Canis lupus familiaris: one gene and its partners. Each later gene encodes a partner of the first gene's protein in a complex. Links are inferred from orthologs where the notes say so. Each region holds a gene or a part of one and is shown on either strand. Other genes may lie near its edges.

Region 1 (4,152 bases):
ATATCTGCCCTATTGTTTTAAATGCCAAGCAACTGGAGGGTGGAAAAAAATCACCATCTTTATAGCTTAATAAACATTGTAAGCAATTACTATTAGTTCCTTTACCTGAATAGGAGCAGGCCTGAGAGCAAAGAGTTCATTTCGAGCACCCTTGGTATAACCATTCATATTGACAAGGATGTGTATACCATCCTGATGGATGCGATCAGCTGCTTTTCCATTGCATGGAATCTATGCAATAAAAAACAGAACTCACTATGTATAATCTCAAACTAATTCAATAAGTTTTAATGGCATTAAATAGAATTCAGAGTCACAGGTACAAAACATAGTAAGAAGACAAATTACATTTATGCAGTATAAAAATATGGTTAAGTCATGAGAGACTCCTGACTCTGTGAAACACAGGGTTGCAGAATGGGAGGTCAGTGGGGGGGTAGAATAACTGGGTGATAGGCATTAAGGAGGGCATATGATGTGATGAGCACTTAGTGTTACGCTATATGTTGGCAAATTGAATTTAAATTTAAAAAATGTGGGGATCCCTGGGTGGCTCAGCGGTTTAGCGCCTGTCTTTGGCCCAGGGCATGATCCTGGAGTCCCGGGATCGAATCCCACATCGGGCTCCTTGCACGGAGCCTCCTTTTCCCTCTGCTTCTCTCTCATGAATAAATAAAAATCAATCAATCAATCAATCAATAAATTTATTTTTTAAATGTTGGGATGCCTGAGTGATTCAGTGGTTGAGCATCTGCCTTCAGCTCAGGACGTGATCCCCAGATCCTGGGATCGAGTCCCACATCAGGCTCCCCATGCAGAACCCTCTCCCTAGGTCTCCACCTCACTCATGAATGGGTCTCTCATAAATATATAAAATCCTAAAAAATAAATTTTTAAAACGTTAATAAAAAATTTTTCATTAAAAAAATATGTTGGGCAGCCCCGGTGGCCCAGTGGTTTAGCACCGCCTTCAGCCTGGGGTGTGATCCTGGAGACCCGGGATCGAGTCCCGCGTTGGGCCCCCTGCACGGAGCCTACTTCTCCCTCTGCCTGTGTCTCTGCCTCTCTCTCTCTCTCTCTCTGTCATGAGTAAAAAAATTAAATCTTTAAAAATAAAAAAATAAAAAATAAAAAAAATAAAAAAATATGTTTAAGTGCCATTAAAATGGGCCTAAAACATTACAGAAATAGAATACACAGGAAAGAGAATTTACTTCTAGATTGAATGCATGAATAACAAGGCTTCATAGAGGAGCTGGATTTTGAAATGGGCCTTCAAAGATGGATAAGCACTTGAGGCAGTTGGACAGAACAGAATCTCAATAGAGAACAGTACGAATATGGAATGCCTGGGTGGCTCAGCAGCTGAACATCTGCCTTAGGCTCAGGGCATGATCCTGGAGTCCTGGGATCAAGTCCCACATCAGGGTCCCTGCATGGAGCCTGCTTCTTCCTCTGCCTATATCTCTGCCTCTCTGTGTGTCTCTCATGAATAAATAAAATCTTAAAAAAAAGACAGTACAAATAAAGAACCCGGGTAAAGTGCACAGATTTTTAAAATATTGAGTAGATCACTTCTATTTGGTACAGAGTATATATGAGGGCAAATGGGAGGTGAAAAGTATTGGCAAACATGGTTGTGCTCAGACTTAAGACTGTGAAGGCTGGGGCGCCTGGGTGGCCCAGTCGGTTAAGCATCAGCCCTTGATTTCAGCTCAGACATGATCTCAGGGTAGTGAGATGGAGCCCTGTGTTGTGCTTCTTGCTCAGCATGGAGTCCACTTGAGATCCTCTCCCACTGGCCCTTCCCCAGCTCGAGCTCTCACTTTCCCTCTCCAAAATAAATAAAATCTTTGGAGGGGGGAAAAAAAGACTGTGAAGGCCATGCTGAAGAGTTTAGACTCCGGTCACTAAGTAGAGTCCCTTAATTATCTCAAAGGTGGAAGGCAGTATGGTTCTTGTCATGAAGAGTCCAAATCCTGCATTGGTTGAGTATAGTCTCAAAGCAACAGTTACATTGCCAAAGATGTTGGTACACACCATTCATTAAATGACAAGAATGTCACAACCCTTTTGCTAGAACTTCAATGATTCATGTATCAATTACTAGATATACCATACACTGCATATCTCTATTAGTCACCAAAGTGGCCCAGAGTCCATAAAAAACCTCTACACTCACCAAATTAATTCCTCCACAGCTTTCAATCTTAATTTATCATAAAATTTATGCTCCTAGAAATAGCAACAGAACAAGTATAGAAATAAAGATAACCAAAGGCAAAGGCCCACAAAAATAGATTTAACCATGATGAACCACAGTTTCTATTTTAAGTAACCTACCTAATCCTCTTCCAAGCCACCATTTCCTAGAAGAGTTTTACATCCAAGCACAAAGAGACCCCATTTCTATTTCATTTGCAACCTCAACACAATCCATGCTCATTATAAATGATGAAGGAAATAAGATCAAAGTAATTGTCCATATGTAGTGGCTGATATAAATACCTATTATGAAAAATACAAGCTACACACCAATAGTTTCATTCGCTATTTGCTCAAAATTAAAAGTCTGAAGTATAGGAGTTTCACCTACCTGAGAAAGATCAATGAAATGATTGGCTTCTGCCATAACTTTCACTCTGAAGTTTGTGCCATCATCTGGGCTCAGGGCATAACAGAATACCTGAAAGGCAGCACACGATATGTTTAAAAACCTTGGCTCAACAAGATATGCAAGCAACCTCTTAAGTGTCCATCAACAGATGAATGGATAAAGAATTTGCCGAGGGTGTGTGCGTATATATGTGTAGCCATGGAACCATAAAAAAGAATGAAATCTTGCCATTCATAACATGGATGGGCCTAGAGAATATTATGCTAAGTGAAATAAGACAAAGACAAACACCATATGCTCTCACTTATATACAGAATCTATAAAACAAAACAAGTAAAAAACACATAGAAACAGACTCATAAGTACAGAGAACAAAACTGGTGGTTGCCAGAAGGGAAGGGGGTGAGGAGAATGAGTTAAACAGGTAAAGGGGATTAAGATGTACAAACTTCCAACGAACAGTTGGAACTTAACAAGTCACAGGGATGAAAAGTGCAGCACAGGGAATACAGTCAATAATGTTTATAAGTTTGTATGGTAATAATCAGTAACCACACTGCTGTGGTGAGCATTTTGTAGTGAATACAATTGTGAAATCACTAAGTTGTACATCTTAAACTAATGTAATACCATATGTCAACTGTATTTCAAACAGAAAACTAAATTTTAAACTAAGTAAAAACTTTGGTTCAAATCTTTCAAAGACACTGGGATGAACACCCAATGGTGATGCTAAAACCAGAAATGGTTTATTTGTTGTTTTTTCTAAACAGAACATGGTGTCTCTAGGGAAACACTAGCCTTACCTCAAATTTATCAGGATTGTGCATGCCTGGAATAGACTGCATAAGGTGAGAAGTAGGATGATTCCCAAAGTCAGAACTCACATATCCTACACGCAGTCGACCATCACTAAGCTTCAAGTCTTTTGGATGTTCGTATGGTGGTTTATGAAGGACGTTAATCTATCAACAGAAAGCAATGTTTGTTAGTACAGTTGAATCTGTACATAAATATTCATCTAGGAAAATTAAAAACAAAACAAACTTCTACTTCACACTTGTTGGGAATGGTTTGCCCAGAATACTTCTTTTAAGTCATACAGCCAATTCAATGCAAACTTAGCAGTTTATATAATACGCTCCATACTCTGACCTGTTCCTGAGACCTACAAAATCTAAAACTTGGAAACAGGGGATCCCTGGGTGGCTCCGTGGTTTAGCGCCTGCCTTCAGTCCAGGGCATGATCCCGGAGTCCCGGGATCGAGTCCCACATCGGGCTCCCTGAATGGAGTCTGCCTCTCCCTCTCCCTCTGCCTGTCTCTGCCTCTCTGCCCTCTGTATCTCTCATGAATTAAGAAATAAAATCTTTAAATCAATCAATCAATCTTGGAAACAGGGACACCTGGGTGGCTCAGCAGTTGAACGCCTGCCTTTAGCCCAGGGCGCAGTCCTGGAGTCCTGGGATAGGGTCCCCACATTAGGCTCCCCGCAGGGAGTCTGATTCTCCCTCTGTCTGTGTCTCTGCCTCTCTC
Region 2 (4,950 bases), on another chromosome or scaffold:
CACTCCACCCTCCCACCATGTCAAATAAATAAATACAATCCTCAGCAGCTTTTGGTTGTAAAGTGTGATGGGGGGGGGGGGGGGCGCGCACAGAGGGAGGGAAATAAAGGGGGAGGGAGGGAGGGAGGGAGAGAGGGAGAAAAAGAACACTCAACAGAGCCCCACTTTGGGCTTGATTCCACAACACTGAGGTCATGACCTGAGCCAAAACCAAGAGCCGATGCTTAACAGACTGAGCCACCCAGGCGCCCCATGCCTGATACATTTTTTTTTTTTAAGATTTTATTTATTTATGAGAGAGAGAGGCAGAAACACAGGCAGAGGGAGAAGGGGAGAAGCAGGCTCCACGCAAGGAGCCTGATGTGGGACTCAATCCCGGGCCTCCAGGATCACGCCCTGGGCTGAAGGCGGTGCTAAACCGCTGAGCCACCCGGGCTACCCGCCTGATACATTTTTAAAGGGGCTTTAGGGCAGCCCGGATGGCTTAGCGGTTTAGCGCCGCCTTCAACCCAGGGCCTGATCCTGGGAATCCGGGATCGAGTCCTGCGTCAGGCTCCCTGCATGGAGCCTGCTTCTCCCTCTGCCTGTGTCTCTGCCTCTCTGTCTCTCACTCATAAATAAATAAAAAATATTTTAAAAAAATAAATAAAGGGGCTTTAAATTATAAGTTACCTAAAGCAAAGGTCACAGCCAGCAGGACCACCGGGCTCTGGACCCCAGGGGCCTGACAGCGCTGCCCTCCCTGCACTCGTCAGCCTCCGCCCCCACTGCCCCTGCAAACACCTGCACGGGCGCCCTGGAGGCCTGAGTGGAGATGTAACGACAGTGGTGTGTTCACCTGCGTGGCGTCCTGAAAGGCAAACACGGTGGGCACAGCATTCTGCTTCAGGTTTTTGCGGTTTCCAAAGGCGCTGAAGCACTCGGGCCGGAAGTGCTCTGAGCAGATGACCGTGTGCTGCTTGGGCTTGAAGTTGGCCCGGCCGATGTTCAGCACCCATTCCTTCAGCAGCTCCGGGCGGCTGAATGGGAACCTGGGAAGCAAAGGAGGGAGACATAGAGGAATCTGCGAAGCTCAAGTCAACACCGTGGGGTTCGCTGCAATTCTGAAAATACCACATGGTATTTTACCAGACAGCTTCGAAAATTGAGTAACTCTGTTAAACTACATCCTATTTCTGGAAGCTTCTGTCATGCCAGTTTACAGTATCCTTAGTGTGCAATGTGAGGCCATGAACGTGGCCAGAAAGCCTTCCAAAGGCTTTGGTCCATTAGTCTTTGAGTACTCAAAGGCTGAGCCAGTGTCCATTCCCCCAGGGATGGCCCTGTCCCAGGCACTGGGATGTGGGAAGGAACAAACAGCCCCACCCTCGGAGAGCCTACATTCTAGAACAGGAAAACAGACAGCAGACCCAACAGATACAGAACTGTGTAGGAATAAAGAGTAGGGGGCATCTCGGTGACTCAGTGCTTGAGCATCTGCCTTTGGCTCAGGTCATGATCCCGGGGTCCTGGGATGGAGTCCCACATCGGACTCCTCATGGGGAGCCTGCTTCTCCCTCTGCCTGTGTCTCTGCCTCTCTTCTGTGTCTCTCATGAATAAATACATAAATGATCTTTTAAAAACAAATGAATAAAGGGAGGCAGTGGTCATGAAGGCCTCTTGGGAGGTGACATCTGAGCAGAGGCTGCAAGAAGCAGGAGAGCCAGCCAACGTTGTTGTCTTATCAGAAGGAAGAGCAAGAATAAAGGCACTGGGATGCACCCAGCATGTTGGGGGCACAGCCAGAGGTGGGTTTGGCTGAGAGGGCTGAGCAGGAGTCATGGGCCTGTCATGGCCAAAATACGGGAACACCCAAATGCCCTTTCCTTCTAGAACAAGTCAATTCTGGCATATTCATTCAGCAGAGGACCTCAAGAGATGGGGAGGAAGGCAGGGCAGCCACTCCAAGTACAGGTGACTTCATAAACATGAGCAAAAGACACAAGAAAGCACAGCATAGGACTTGGTGTGTCAAGTTCAACCCAAGCCAGAGCACCGGGCTCGGACAGAAGGCAGGATGCGGGCCACTCTGGGGGATGTCCGGGGGTGGGGGAGGGGATTCCCCAGGGGCTGATGTTCTGGTTCACAGTCACACAGGTGTTCACTTTGCGGAATGGCCTGGGCCATGGAATTATCATTTGTGTGCTTTTCTGTAGGTCTACTTCAATAAAAACCTTCACTTGGGAGAAGGAAAATGGTGATGGGAGGGGCGGTGGAGACAGTGCAGCTGGCCTTGGGGGTCGCGCTCTAGGCGGCGGTGGCTGGAAGCTGCGTTCTCCCGGGCAGGGGCCGGGCCGGGACCCGGGACAGGGGCCCAGGGCCGACACGCTGCGAGCGCCGGGAGCGCGAGGACAGGCTCCAAGCCTCCCGCCCGGGCTGCAGGGCTGCAGGGCTGCAGGGCTGCAGGGCTGCAGGGCCGGCCGCGCTCCCCAACACCCTGGAACGTTCTCAGGGCTCCGCTCCCCAGCTTCCTGACCCGAGGCCTGGCCGGGGCGAACCCCCCGCGTCACCACCACTCATTCATTCGGAGACGCATTCAGCCCGCACGCACGGAGCACCAGCCGCGTTCCAGGCTGCATCTGAGAACAAGATCGGGTCTCGGGGAGGGACTGACACCCCAGGACTGCGGACCCGGCGACCCACCCCGGCCTCCTCCGCAAGCGACCGCCCCAGCCGACGTGGGGGTAAGGCTGTGCGCCTTGGGCAGGTTGCTCGGCCTCTCCGATCGTCTCCCCACGAGCCCAGGCCGCGGGGCATCCCCCTGTCCCCGGGCCGCCGGCCCCTCCGCGGAGGACCCGGCTGCACGCCCTTGGCCGTCCCCGCCCGGCGCGCCAGGCCTCGGGCTCCCAGGGGCGCCAGGCGGGTCGGCAGCCGGGCCCCCGCGCCCCACGGCGCCCCTGCCCCTCACCGGTGGAAGGTGAGCTGCTTCCTGCGGCTGCTGTAGCGGTTGCAGCACTGCCGGGCCGCGCACGACTTCGGCATCTCCGGACGCCAGGCCCAGCTGCCCCTAACAAAGATGGCGGCGGCGGGCCGGCGGACCCGAGCGGGAGCTGCGGGGGGAGGGGCCAGCGAGCGGGGCGGGGCCGGCGAGCGGGGCGGGGCCTGCGGACCCGAGCGGGGCTACCCGAGACAGGGCTAGCGGGCGGGGCGGAGCCTCACAGGGCACAGCCAGGCCTGCGGACTGGAGCGGGGCCACGGGGGGCGGGGTCCGGCGAGCGAGGCGGGGCCAGCAGGCCGGCTGGGGCCTGCCCGGCACTGGAGGCCTGAAGACCCGAGCGGGGCCACGGGGGGCGGGGCCAGCGGGGCCAGGCCGGGGCCTGCGGGCGGGGCGGGGCGGGGAGGGGCGGAAGGCGGGGCTGCCTCCGCTCTGCTCCGGGGTCAACTCCCTGGGCGCTCCCTGCGGACCCGCAAGTCAGGTGGACTCCGGAGTATCACGACTAGAGGTGCTCCCGGGCCCCACCCAGGCCCGACGCCCCTAACAGCGCCTCCGGCGCAAGCTCCACCCGTTCGCGAAGCCCGGGGCCCTCACCTCCTTGCTTTGAGGAGCCAAGACACACCCACCAACAGCCTTGAACACCTGGATACCACAGACGGCTCACAGCCCAACCTGGCCAGGATCTCCGAGGTTTTAAGAGGTGTTGATACTAGGTTTTGGCTGCTCAGAAAGGAGGTACTAGGTGACCACTAGTTGGTCCCAGATTAGAGGTGGGCAGACACAGCTCAAAGAAAAGGCAGGGGCAGTGGGGACCCCCAAGTGTAAAGGGACAGAATGAGCACCTCTGGGAGACTGCAAACCTGCTTGCAGAACCTCGGAGGAGACTGCAGCTTTTTTTTTTTTTTTTTTTTAATTTTTATTTATTCATGATAGTCACAGAGAGAGAAAGAGAGAGGCAGAGACATAGGCAGAGGGAGAATGAGACTGCAGCTTTTAACAAAGCAGGTAACTACTCACTGGGATTTAAGCCAATCCACAGCATGATGAAACTGTGAAAGCGATTCATGTCTATTCATACTGTGGTTTGATCCTGGAGAATTTACTAGAAAAGTAAATGAAGAGTTGTGGGCACTTTATCTCCCCAGGTCTCTGTCATCCCGGTTTGGGGGTGATGAAGGGAGGAGAAAAACCATTGTCCACCCCCACAGAAAACAAACACCTGAAGCTAGGCATGAACCTCAAAGTAGCAATATATTTATTTACAAAATATACAGTTTCACAGAAACAGCTTCGCTTTATACACATAAACTTTATAATTACACAGAACCATGTAAACGATGTTAAGTGTCTGGCCTGGCCAATGCCAATGAGAGGTGCTTACTTTTGGGGTGACATCTTTCCCTCTCCTCACTTTATTAGCCACCAACCAGGAGCCCCTAGATGGGCCATGCCTAATTTGCATAAAGCTGATTGCAGCTGCCCAGCTCAAGTGAACACAAAAACCAAGGTGTCTTGAATTCCTAGACACCACCCACAGGGATAGATAGATCTGTTAAAAGAACAAAAAGGAAATGAAGGAAACAGATCGAAATGATTATCAAGTACCTTCCAGAGGTGTCACCAGGCATAGAACTTTCTAAAAGCAATACAGCAATCGCCAGGGCTGGCAGTTCCACTCTAAAATCACATGTATTCTTAAATGCACTTTTAAAACTTAGTGGAGGTTTTTTGTTTTTGTTTTTTAAAAGAAAAACACTTTGGAACTTTGGCTATTCTCATGGTGAAGACACTGGACAGGCAATGTCATGGGGCAGATCTTTGGCAAATTCCTCTCCAACTTTTCCTGGACGTTTGCCCTCATCCGAGCCAGACAGTTGTCTGGGGAGAAGGTGGTTTCTAAGCCCGCTTCTTACTATTTTTCTCTACAGCAGAACTTCTCCCTTGGGGATCTTCACGATAAACTGGGTTTCAGAAT
Region 3 (4,636 bases), on another chromosome or scaffold:
TACACATTGACCATCTATTATTTGCCAGATTTGACAATTCAGTTGATATAAATAAAATAGTTCCTCACTCTAATTCAGGAAACAAATACAATCAAGAGAATAAATGAAACAAAACTGTGTTAATGCTCTGTTGAAAATGAATAGTGAAAAGGTAGAGAGTAATTGTCATGGCGCAGGCATTTGATCAACTGAAGCACTTCTACATTATGTAGCTACAGAGAGTCTCACCAAGGAGATGACAAATAGACCTTGCATGATGAAGAGTCAGCTTTGCAAAAAAGCAAAGCTTTTTTGCCTATGCGATGAGCCAGCAGCTGGAAAGAATGTAGGAAGAATCCTAGAAACTGAGAGAAAGTCAATATACCTAGAGGACAAGCAAGGGTGAAGGATTCAGGTGAACAGATTGGCTGTTTTAAGTAGGGTGGTGACATGATTAGATTTACATTTTAAAAAATATTTTATTTCTTTGAGAGAGAGGCGGAGCAGAGGGAGAGGGACATGAAGACTCTATGCTGAACACAGAGCCTGACAGGGGGCTCGAATCCCCCGACTTAGATCATGACCTGAGCTGAAATCAAGAATCAAGTCCCACATCGGGCTCCCTGCAGGGAGCCTGCTTCTCCCTCTGCCTGTGTCTCTGCCTCTCTCTCTTTCTCTCTCAGTCTCTCATGAATAAATAAAATATTAAAAAAAAATACAATCTGGCTGCTTTGTCTTTTCAATGTAAGTTAAAGTCCTCATTGCCCTCACAAATAACAAATGTTTAGCCAATCTCCTTGGGACTTCCCAAGTCCTATTGGGAAAACATTTCATACTCTTTTGATGTGGCTGCAACTCCGACCTTGGTCCCCAGAGGCGAAATACAGCTCCTCTCCACACCAGCAATTGGAATCCTTTCCAAGGAGTTAATGAGGCAAAGTGGAGGAGGTATTAGTGCAAAGACCCTGAGGGGTCAAGGAACCTGGCTTGCGCACTTGAAAGGGGTGGAAAACGTGGGAAAGCAGGATGTGTGAGATTGTGAGAGAGGCAGGTTAGGATTTATTAGACTTTGAAGAGCCTGGTTGATAGGCTACAGGGGGATATTAAGATTTCAACCCGAAGAACCGGGTTTGTGATTATATTTGAATTTTGAAAAGCTTCCACTGTGTGTGAAGAATGGTTTGGAAGGGGAAAGGGTAATGGGATGGAGGGCACGACCATCATCTAAGAGAGAGGGGGCCTAGACTGGAGTGTCAGCAGTGGGACGGAAAGAAGTAAGGGCTTCCAGATGCACTTGGGAGGCAAAATTAACAGGTGATGGATCGTGGGTGTCCAGTCCCAGGCTTCGTGTTACCTGACGAGTGGCGACTTCGTGCTCTGGATCAGGGCGCCGGCCTGGTTCCCGCGCGTCAGGGCAGTGGGCGTGGCCGCGGGGCCGTCTCCACGGGGAGCGAGCAGGGCGGGGCCGTGGGTGGGGCAGCTGGGGCGCTGCGTCACTCGGTGGTGGCGATGGTGCGTGTGTGTGGGGGGGCGGGGGATACGCTGGGCGCGTCCCGGGGGTCACGTGGTGCGCAGCACGCAGAGTCCTTCTGTCGGTTGGTCCTGGAGCGGCGCAGCCGGAGCGGGGCTGTGAGGTGAGCTCGCGACGAGGCGCGGCGAGGAGAAGCCGGAGGGCCGGAGCCGGGTTGGGCCGGGCCCGCGCCGTGCGCGCGCCGTGCCAGCGGCAGAGGAGACGGCCGCCGCCGCTGCCCGGTCCCCTGCCTGGCCTCGCTCTCCGCCCGGCCCCGCTCGCCCAGCCGGGAGGGAGGCCCGGGGACCGCTGCTGAGAGCGTGGCGGGCGTGCGAGCGGCGCCCAATCCCCAGGGCTGCCCGAGGGAATGACGGCGGTCGCGGCCAATCAGCGCCGCCCGAGGGGGCTGGGCCGCGGGGTGCGGGCTCGGGGCGCGGAGCGGGCCGCGTTGGGGGTGGGGGGTAAGCGCTGGGGCTAGAGAGAGGCTGAGCTGCGTGGTCCCCGAGAGCTCCACCTCCAGCCGCTGCTGTTGCCTTGTGCTTTGGGAATGCGTTTTCTTTTATTGACTCTTTTATCCTATTCTGGGGAGCACACCCCTTTCTCAAGCCCCTGACTATGGGAGTGTCCCCTTTCTCTATAGTTTAGAGAATGTGGTGCACTCCCTTTCTTAAACTCCAGCCCTGGGGTTTTATCTTAATTTCCAAAGCCCCTCAAACTGAGGATGTATCCCATTTCCCAGGCACCCCCCCCCCCCAAACTGGGAGGACACTCCCTTTTCCGAGCCACTAATCTGAACACGCACTCCCTTTCAAATTTTGGGGTTTGCTCCATAATTGACTCTCAGATCTGGGGTCCGGTAGCCAAAGTTTCGGGGATACTTCTATTCCCACATATCCAAGAAAGAATCTCCTTATCCTGGCCCCAGATCTTGCAAATGCTTTCCAAAATTTTTTAAATTTAGGGGCTGCTTCGTTTCCCCAGCCCTTGGGGGTGCTCCTTATTTCCAGAGTCTACTGAAAATGCGATCCAAATTCTGAAGTTTAAAGGTAGATATTTGCGGTTGCACAAATAAAGGAATTCACTGCTTTTTCTAGTCACTGTATTCTTGGGGTTGCACCCATTTTCATGAGTTCCTCAAATTAAACTACTTTATTTCCTGGGGGAGACTCAGGTTCATATCTGAGAGTGTATTTGTTTCCTGTGTTTCCAAAATGTACAGGATCCACTCCTTTTGGTTGCCCAGTCCTTGGGTTGCAGCCACCTTCCTGATGATTCTTAAATCTGGGAGGGCACACATTTTTTCTAAGTTCTCTCAGGCCTGCGCCATGATATCTGGTTCTTGAGCATGATGCCTCCTATCCTTTTTAGCTTTTCTTTTATCCAAGACATTTTCGTTACTCAGTTTACTTTCCTCTTTGGAACCCCATTTCCCTTTTAGGTGCTCTCCCTGCTTTGGTCAGGGCACCCATTTCCTCTTCCTTCCTCTGGTGAATGCTTATCTTTCTTTAGCACAGCATTTTCTCTGCTTCAGTGGCCTTTTTTCTGAGCACACTTCCTATAGTCACACCTTGAATTTCCCTCCCCCAAGTGAAAGATCCCTCCCTTAAAGGGTACCTGCATGCTGTCTTTCATACATCTATTTTACCTTTTATGTTTTTGCTTTCTACTAACAGGAACTCTTCTATCTTGGCTTGCCCTATCCCATTTTCTGCCTTTTTCTGGTTTCTAACTCCCTTTGGACAGTGCTCTGCTTACTGGAGTCTGTAGAGTTTTTCTCTTTTCTACCCTTTGAGCTGGCCTCAGATCCAGGACTGCTTGACCCTCCAGCGCTGAATTTAAACTGGAAAGGAAATCCCTTTACATTTCTTTGGTTATTCACAGGACTTTTAATCTTCCAGTGGTTTGCTTCCTATAAGATTCTGGTTAGATGTGTACTGTTTTCTCCTTTGCTTCTCTCCTCCCCCACCCCCATTGGGAAAAAATTCTGAAGAGAGTCTTCCAGTCTTCCAGCTCATAAACTTCCTCCCTACATTAGCTTTCTTCCTTCCTTTTATCAAGAAAATAGGTCATTTGGAGGAATCTCTTTGTCACTCTTTTTGTTATTTTCCCTGAGTTGCAGGTGGGGGATGGATACTTACCTCTTATCATTTTCTCACATGTCTGCCAAGCCTTGCTCCCAATCCCCATCTTAAAATCACCAAATATCTGGGACCTCTTGTCTCTTAAAAGCCTCTCAGTAGGTTCTTTCTTTTGTATTTCCCTCTGTCTTTCCAGATCTTACTCAGGGCTTCTCTGAGCCCCTAACCGGCTTAATTTCTCCACAGCTGGAATCCCAAGTGCTTATGGGATAATGATACTTCTGACCTTTCTCCCTTTTGGGAAGTACTTGAGTGTGCAGCTGTATGAGGCCTCAGTGGGGGAGAGAGTTTGGGCCTGAGAAGCTACACTGGCAGGATGAGGCAGGAAGGTACTGCATTTTCAGGACCACTTCCTTCTGAATCTCATTTGGAGATTGGATGTTTGCCAAGCACCTGCTTCTTAGGGATGCTGGAGGATTTAATGATACTCGCAGGAACCTGTAGGAATTAATGGAGATTGTGAAAAAGTGCTCTGAACTCAGTGTTGGAGCTTGAATACAATTAACCGTTACTATATTTTCAGAACAACTAAGTGTTTTATTTTTCATGGTCATGAAAGCCCTAGAGCTAAGGTGTGTTATTTCAGGAAGTGAAATGGATCCCACATTTAGATCATGTGGTGGTTAATAAGTACCAAATTGATAAAAAACACTGGAGGTCTGTCTGAGCAGTACCTAATAAAATATGATACACAGAAAGTGAACAGATATTTCATCTCTTTATACGCCTGTCTGGTATTTTATCTGCTTGGTACTGCTATATACAGTGCACCTTTAAAGTATTCTGTGTCCATGCTTCTCAAACTTGAATGTGCATATAAATTGCTTGTGGGAGAAGGGTCGTGCTAACATGCTAATTCTGATCCAGTAGGTTTAGGTTGGAGCCTCTGGATCTGCATTTCTAATTCCCAGGTGATGGCCATATTACTGAACTACACTGAGTAGTGAGGTTCTATACACAAAGCCAAGGATATCTTTGTGGAAATAGGTGGTGTGGTTAGCCTTATGCT
Region 4 (3,260 bases), on another chromosome or scaffold:
GTGTGCTGCTGCCCACCAAGAACAGACATCCCCAACACAGAGCACAAAAACACCCCCACACTTACACACGCAGACCCCCCCCATGTCAGACACCCTGACACACCGATGTTCTTATCAAGCAGACGACACCCAGATGCCCCTCCCCCTGCCAGGGATCCAGAGCCGCAGCCCATGGACCTGGCACCGAGCCTCCCGCCATGGAGCTAGACCCTGGACCTCCTCACCCTACCCCCTCCCAAAGGCACACAGACCTCCTCCCGCTGCCATCACCACCCCCACGAGTCCCAGACCCAGAGAGCTCCCTCCAGGGCCCAAGGGCCAGGCGGACCCAACACCTGCAAGGACCAACTGGCCTGGGAGTTGGCTGGTGTGCCCAGGCCTATGGCAGCTGAACGTCTGGGGCCTCCTCACACCAAGGAAGGTACTCGGCAGCACAGACACAGGGGTCGGGATTGTGCAAACAGCCCTCCCACTCCCTCAGCAGGAGAGGACTTCAGTGCCCCCTCCCTGGCAGAGCCAGACTTCCCTGGGTTTCAGGAGAGGGGTTGGACTCAGCCCCAGCTCTGGGAGGAGGCCAAGGCCTTATAGGACTGAGAGCCATGCCCCGAAGGGTCCACCACACGCACCAACGGGCTTTCCCAGCTGCCTGCACAAAGGCCTTCTCAGTATTCAGAGCAGACCCTATATGCTCTCGAAGGCCCCTTCCTCCCCAACCCTTTCCACCAGCTTATGAAGCCAGGATTCCAGGTACCAAGGTGGGCCTCACCCAGGCTTCGGAAAGGCTGCTTTATTAGAAGCTCTTCTTTTTCTCTTTTTTTTTTTTAGCTCTTCTGACATCATTTTCAGACTGCCTGGAAGTCTTGGTATCAGGGATGGGAGCCCTCATGTGACTGGGGGGCTAGAGGGGGGTGGGTAGGTAGGGGTACAGGTCTCCGCACACCGCAGCTCATTTCCGAATGCTCCTATGGGTGGCAGCTGAGGTCCTGATGGAATAGGACCTGAAGGCACCAGGTCCGCCGCCGCTGGAGAAGCTCAGGGCATTGCTGCCCATGGTCCCCCCGAAGCTCAGGCCGCTGCCGCCTCCGCCAGTGGAGTTCACCACAGCTGGGAGAAAAGGGAGGAGGGCTCCATCAGCACGAGGCCCATCCCTCACTCCACCCTACTCTCCCTCCCCACTGCCTCTCCTCCTCAGCACCCTCCGCAGGCCAGCCCAGAAGGAGCCCGCGCCAGCCACAGGGGCTGCACCACGGATGCCCCACGCCCCGCTCTGCCCTCTTGCACGGCTTCCCTGGGCCTTTGAGCCTGACGGGCTGGGAGCTCCAGGGCACCTGCTAAAAGCCCATAAGGGAAAGAAGAAGCTCCTGGGCAGGACAAGGCCAGGCCCTCGGGCCAGCGTGCCATCCTGCAGGCCCAGCCTGGTCTAGACAGCACAGGAGAAGGGCCACAGCCAAGGACTTACAGATGTTCACGGCTCCCACGCCATCTCCGGCCAACCTGGGGGCAGAGGAGAGACCTGTGAGAGCAGCTCTTTCCTCAGAGCAGGAGGAGGCAGTCCTGGGCCCCCTCCATCCAGGAGCCGCGCAGGGCTGATATTCCTTCCCCTGCCCCACACATTAGTCCTCAGCCTCATTGCAAAATAAGGGGATGGGTGGGGAGGAGGTTCACTTAGGCCCTCCTGGTACTGGCCACGTGACCTTGGGCCATGTCCCAAAGCCTCCATTTCCTCACCTATAAACTGAGCCTAACTTAGTCCGGGCCTCACAGGGTCGGTCGTGAGGCTGGATCACGTAACTGCGCTGGAGCCCTGGGCGCACGGGAGTCCATGAGGGGTAGCCGGGATTACTTCTGAGGACAGCTGCCTCCCCCGACCAAATCACAAACCCTCAACGCGGGCTGGAGCTTACGGATGCCTGGCCATCCGGCCCTAGCGGGAGGTGTGGCGTGGAGCCATCATCCGCTATGGAGTGAAATAACTCGAGAATTGCTGCTTTCGGGAACGCAGCTACGGCGGGGACTGCGGAGGCCGCAGAGGCAGATGCGGCCACTCTCAGGGCCCGGCTGGAGATGGAAAAGCCACGGGACAGTTGGGCGTGTTTGTTTTATGACTCACGGCTCCATTGTCACCGCGCCCTTGGCCTTGAGGTTGAGTTTACTCTGCAGTGGGGAGGGGGGACCTCACTTTGATAGAGGGATGAGGGGAGCCCAGCTGACGTCATCAGCCCTAAGTTCAGGAAGAGGACAGAGCGAAGGACAAGGGCAAGAGGCGGATGTGCCAGGAGGCTTCCAAGCCCCTTGTTCAACTGGCCCCTGCAAGCGCTGGGAGTCGCTGGCCGTTGCGGGCCCCTGGGAGGAAGGGGATGGGGCCCCACTATAAGAGTCCCCAGCTCTGGTTCTAGCAGGAAAAGAGGTCCAGGGTTTGCATTCCCAAGAAAGCATGGCCCCTGCACCCATGCTGGCAGAGGGTGCAGAGCGAGGCAGCACGGCCGGGACAGGTGGGCTCTCGGGCCACCCTGTGCCCCAGATCAGCGGCTCTCTCTTCCCAGAGGCCTCTGCCGTTCAATTCCTCTTCCCACAAAGCCCAGGTGCCAACCCCAGCAAGAGATGGGTCAACTGCTGTGGCAGAGACCCTTCCGCCTCCCCTTCCCCAACCCATTTCCTGCAGCCATGATTCTTCTCTGCCTCCTTCCTGGAGTCAGGCACTCTGCCCTAGCATTCCCCAGTGCCCCAGCTCCTTCCTGTCGACTCCATCAGAAGCAGCCTGCCTCCCCCGCCCCTCAGGAAAAAATGCTCCCAAAAGAAAAAGTTCTGTGTAAATTTAGCATTTCATAAATGGTCTCTATTATGAGTGCTTCCTAGGTGCTTCCTTTACAAATGTTTGGTGCCCCCCGGCCCACGTGCAAGCCCCCCGAGGGCAGGAGCCTATCTTACACCTTATCTATCTCCATGCTGGGTTCCAACAAGCCAAGCCCTGATGGGGCCTACTTCCAAGCCTTGGCCATGCTGTTCCCTCTCACCCTCTCCAAACCTTAACCTTCGCCGAGGGCACAACTCTACAGCCTTGCAGATTGAATGAATCAATCAACCATCAGGGTGAGAATGAAAGCCCAACTGCACGGACAGAGGGTCCATGTCTAACACCGATCCAGCCCAGCCTGCTCTCTGGCAGCGGGTGTGCATAGATCTCTGGGATCTCCCACATTCAGTCAACACCAGGCGACTTGGCACTCAGTGATGCAGCGAGAAGCAGCCTGGCATCATGA

The links.
Region 2: OGT (region 1) and THAP3 share a complex: the UniProt entries of both Homo sapiens proteins name them as parts of the THAP1/THAP3-HCFC1-OGT complex. The link is inferred for Canis lupus familiaris from reciprocal best matches to the Homo sapiens genes OGT and THAP3.
Region 3: OGT (region 1) and PHF20 share a complex: the UniProt entries of both Homo sapiens proteins name them as parts of the NSL complex. The link is inferred for Canis lupus familiaris from reciprocal best matches to the Homo sapiens genes OGT and PHF20.
Region 4: the proteins of OGT (region 1) and KRT7 are in contact, whole or in part, in a crystal structure (PDB 4XIF), measured with the Homo sapiens proteins. The link is inferred for Canis lupus familiaris from reciprocal best matches to the Homo sapiens genes OGT and KRT7. Residues at the interface, in NP_858058.1 of Homo sapiens: His506, His508, His509, Asn567, His568, Pro569, Tyr642, Thr643, Lys644, Gln849, Phe878, Val905, Ala906, Pro907; in NP_005547.3 of Homo sapiens: Val9, Phe10, Thr11, Ser12, Arg13, Ser14, Ala15.

What each region holds. Positions count from the first base shown.
Region 1 is NC_049260.1:56,037,669-56,041,820, reverse strand, and holds part of OGT (UDP-N-acetylglucosamine--peptide N-acetylglucosaminyltransferase 110 kDa subunit), read right to left. Parts: intron 3,583-4,152; coding exon 3,424-3,582; intron 2,687-3,423; coding exon 2,597-2,686; intron 232-2,596; coding exon 106-231; intron 1-105. UniProt on the Homo sapiens protein: Catalyzes the transfer of a single N-acetylglucosamine from UDP-GlcNAc to a serine or threonine residue in cytoplasmic and nuclear proteins resulting in their modification with a beta-linked N-acetylglucosamine (O-GlcNAc).
Region 2 is NC_049226.1:60,924,974-60,929,923, reverse strand, and holds the start of THAP3 (THAP domain-containing protein 3), read right to left. Parts: upstream 3,091-4,950; 5' UTR 3,023-3,090; coding exon 2,949-3,022; intron 1,032-2,948; coding exon 839-1,031; intron 1-838. UniProt on the Homo sapiens protein: Component of a THAP1/THAP3-HCFC1-OGT complex that is required for the regulation of the transcriptional activity of RRM1.
Region 3 is NC_049245.1:25,186,031-25,190,666, forward strand, and holds the start of PHF20 (PHD finger protein 20), read left to right. Parts: upstream 1-1,482; 5' UTR 1,483-1,613; intron 1,614-4,636. UniProt on the Homo sapiens protein: Methyllysine-binding protein, component of the MOF histone acetyltransferase protein complex.
Region 4 is NC_049248.1:43,837,271-43,840,530, reverse strand, and holds the end of KRT7 (keratin, type II cytoskeletal 7), read right to left. Parts: intron 1,495-3,260; coding exon 1,460-1,494; intron 1,105-1,459; coding exon 947-1,104; 3' UTR 742-946; downstream 1-741.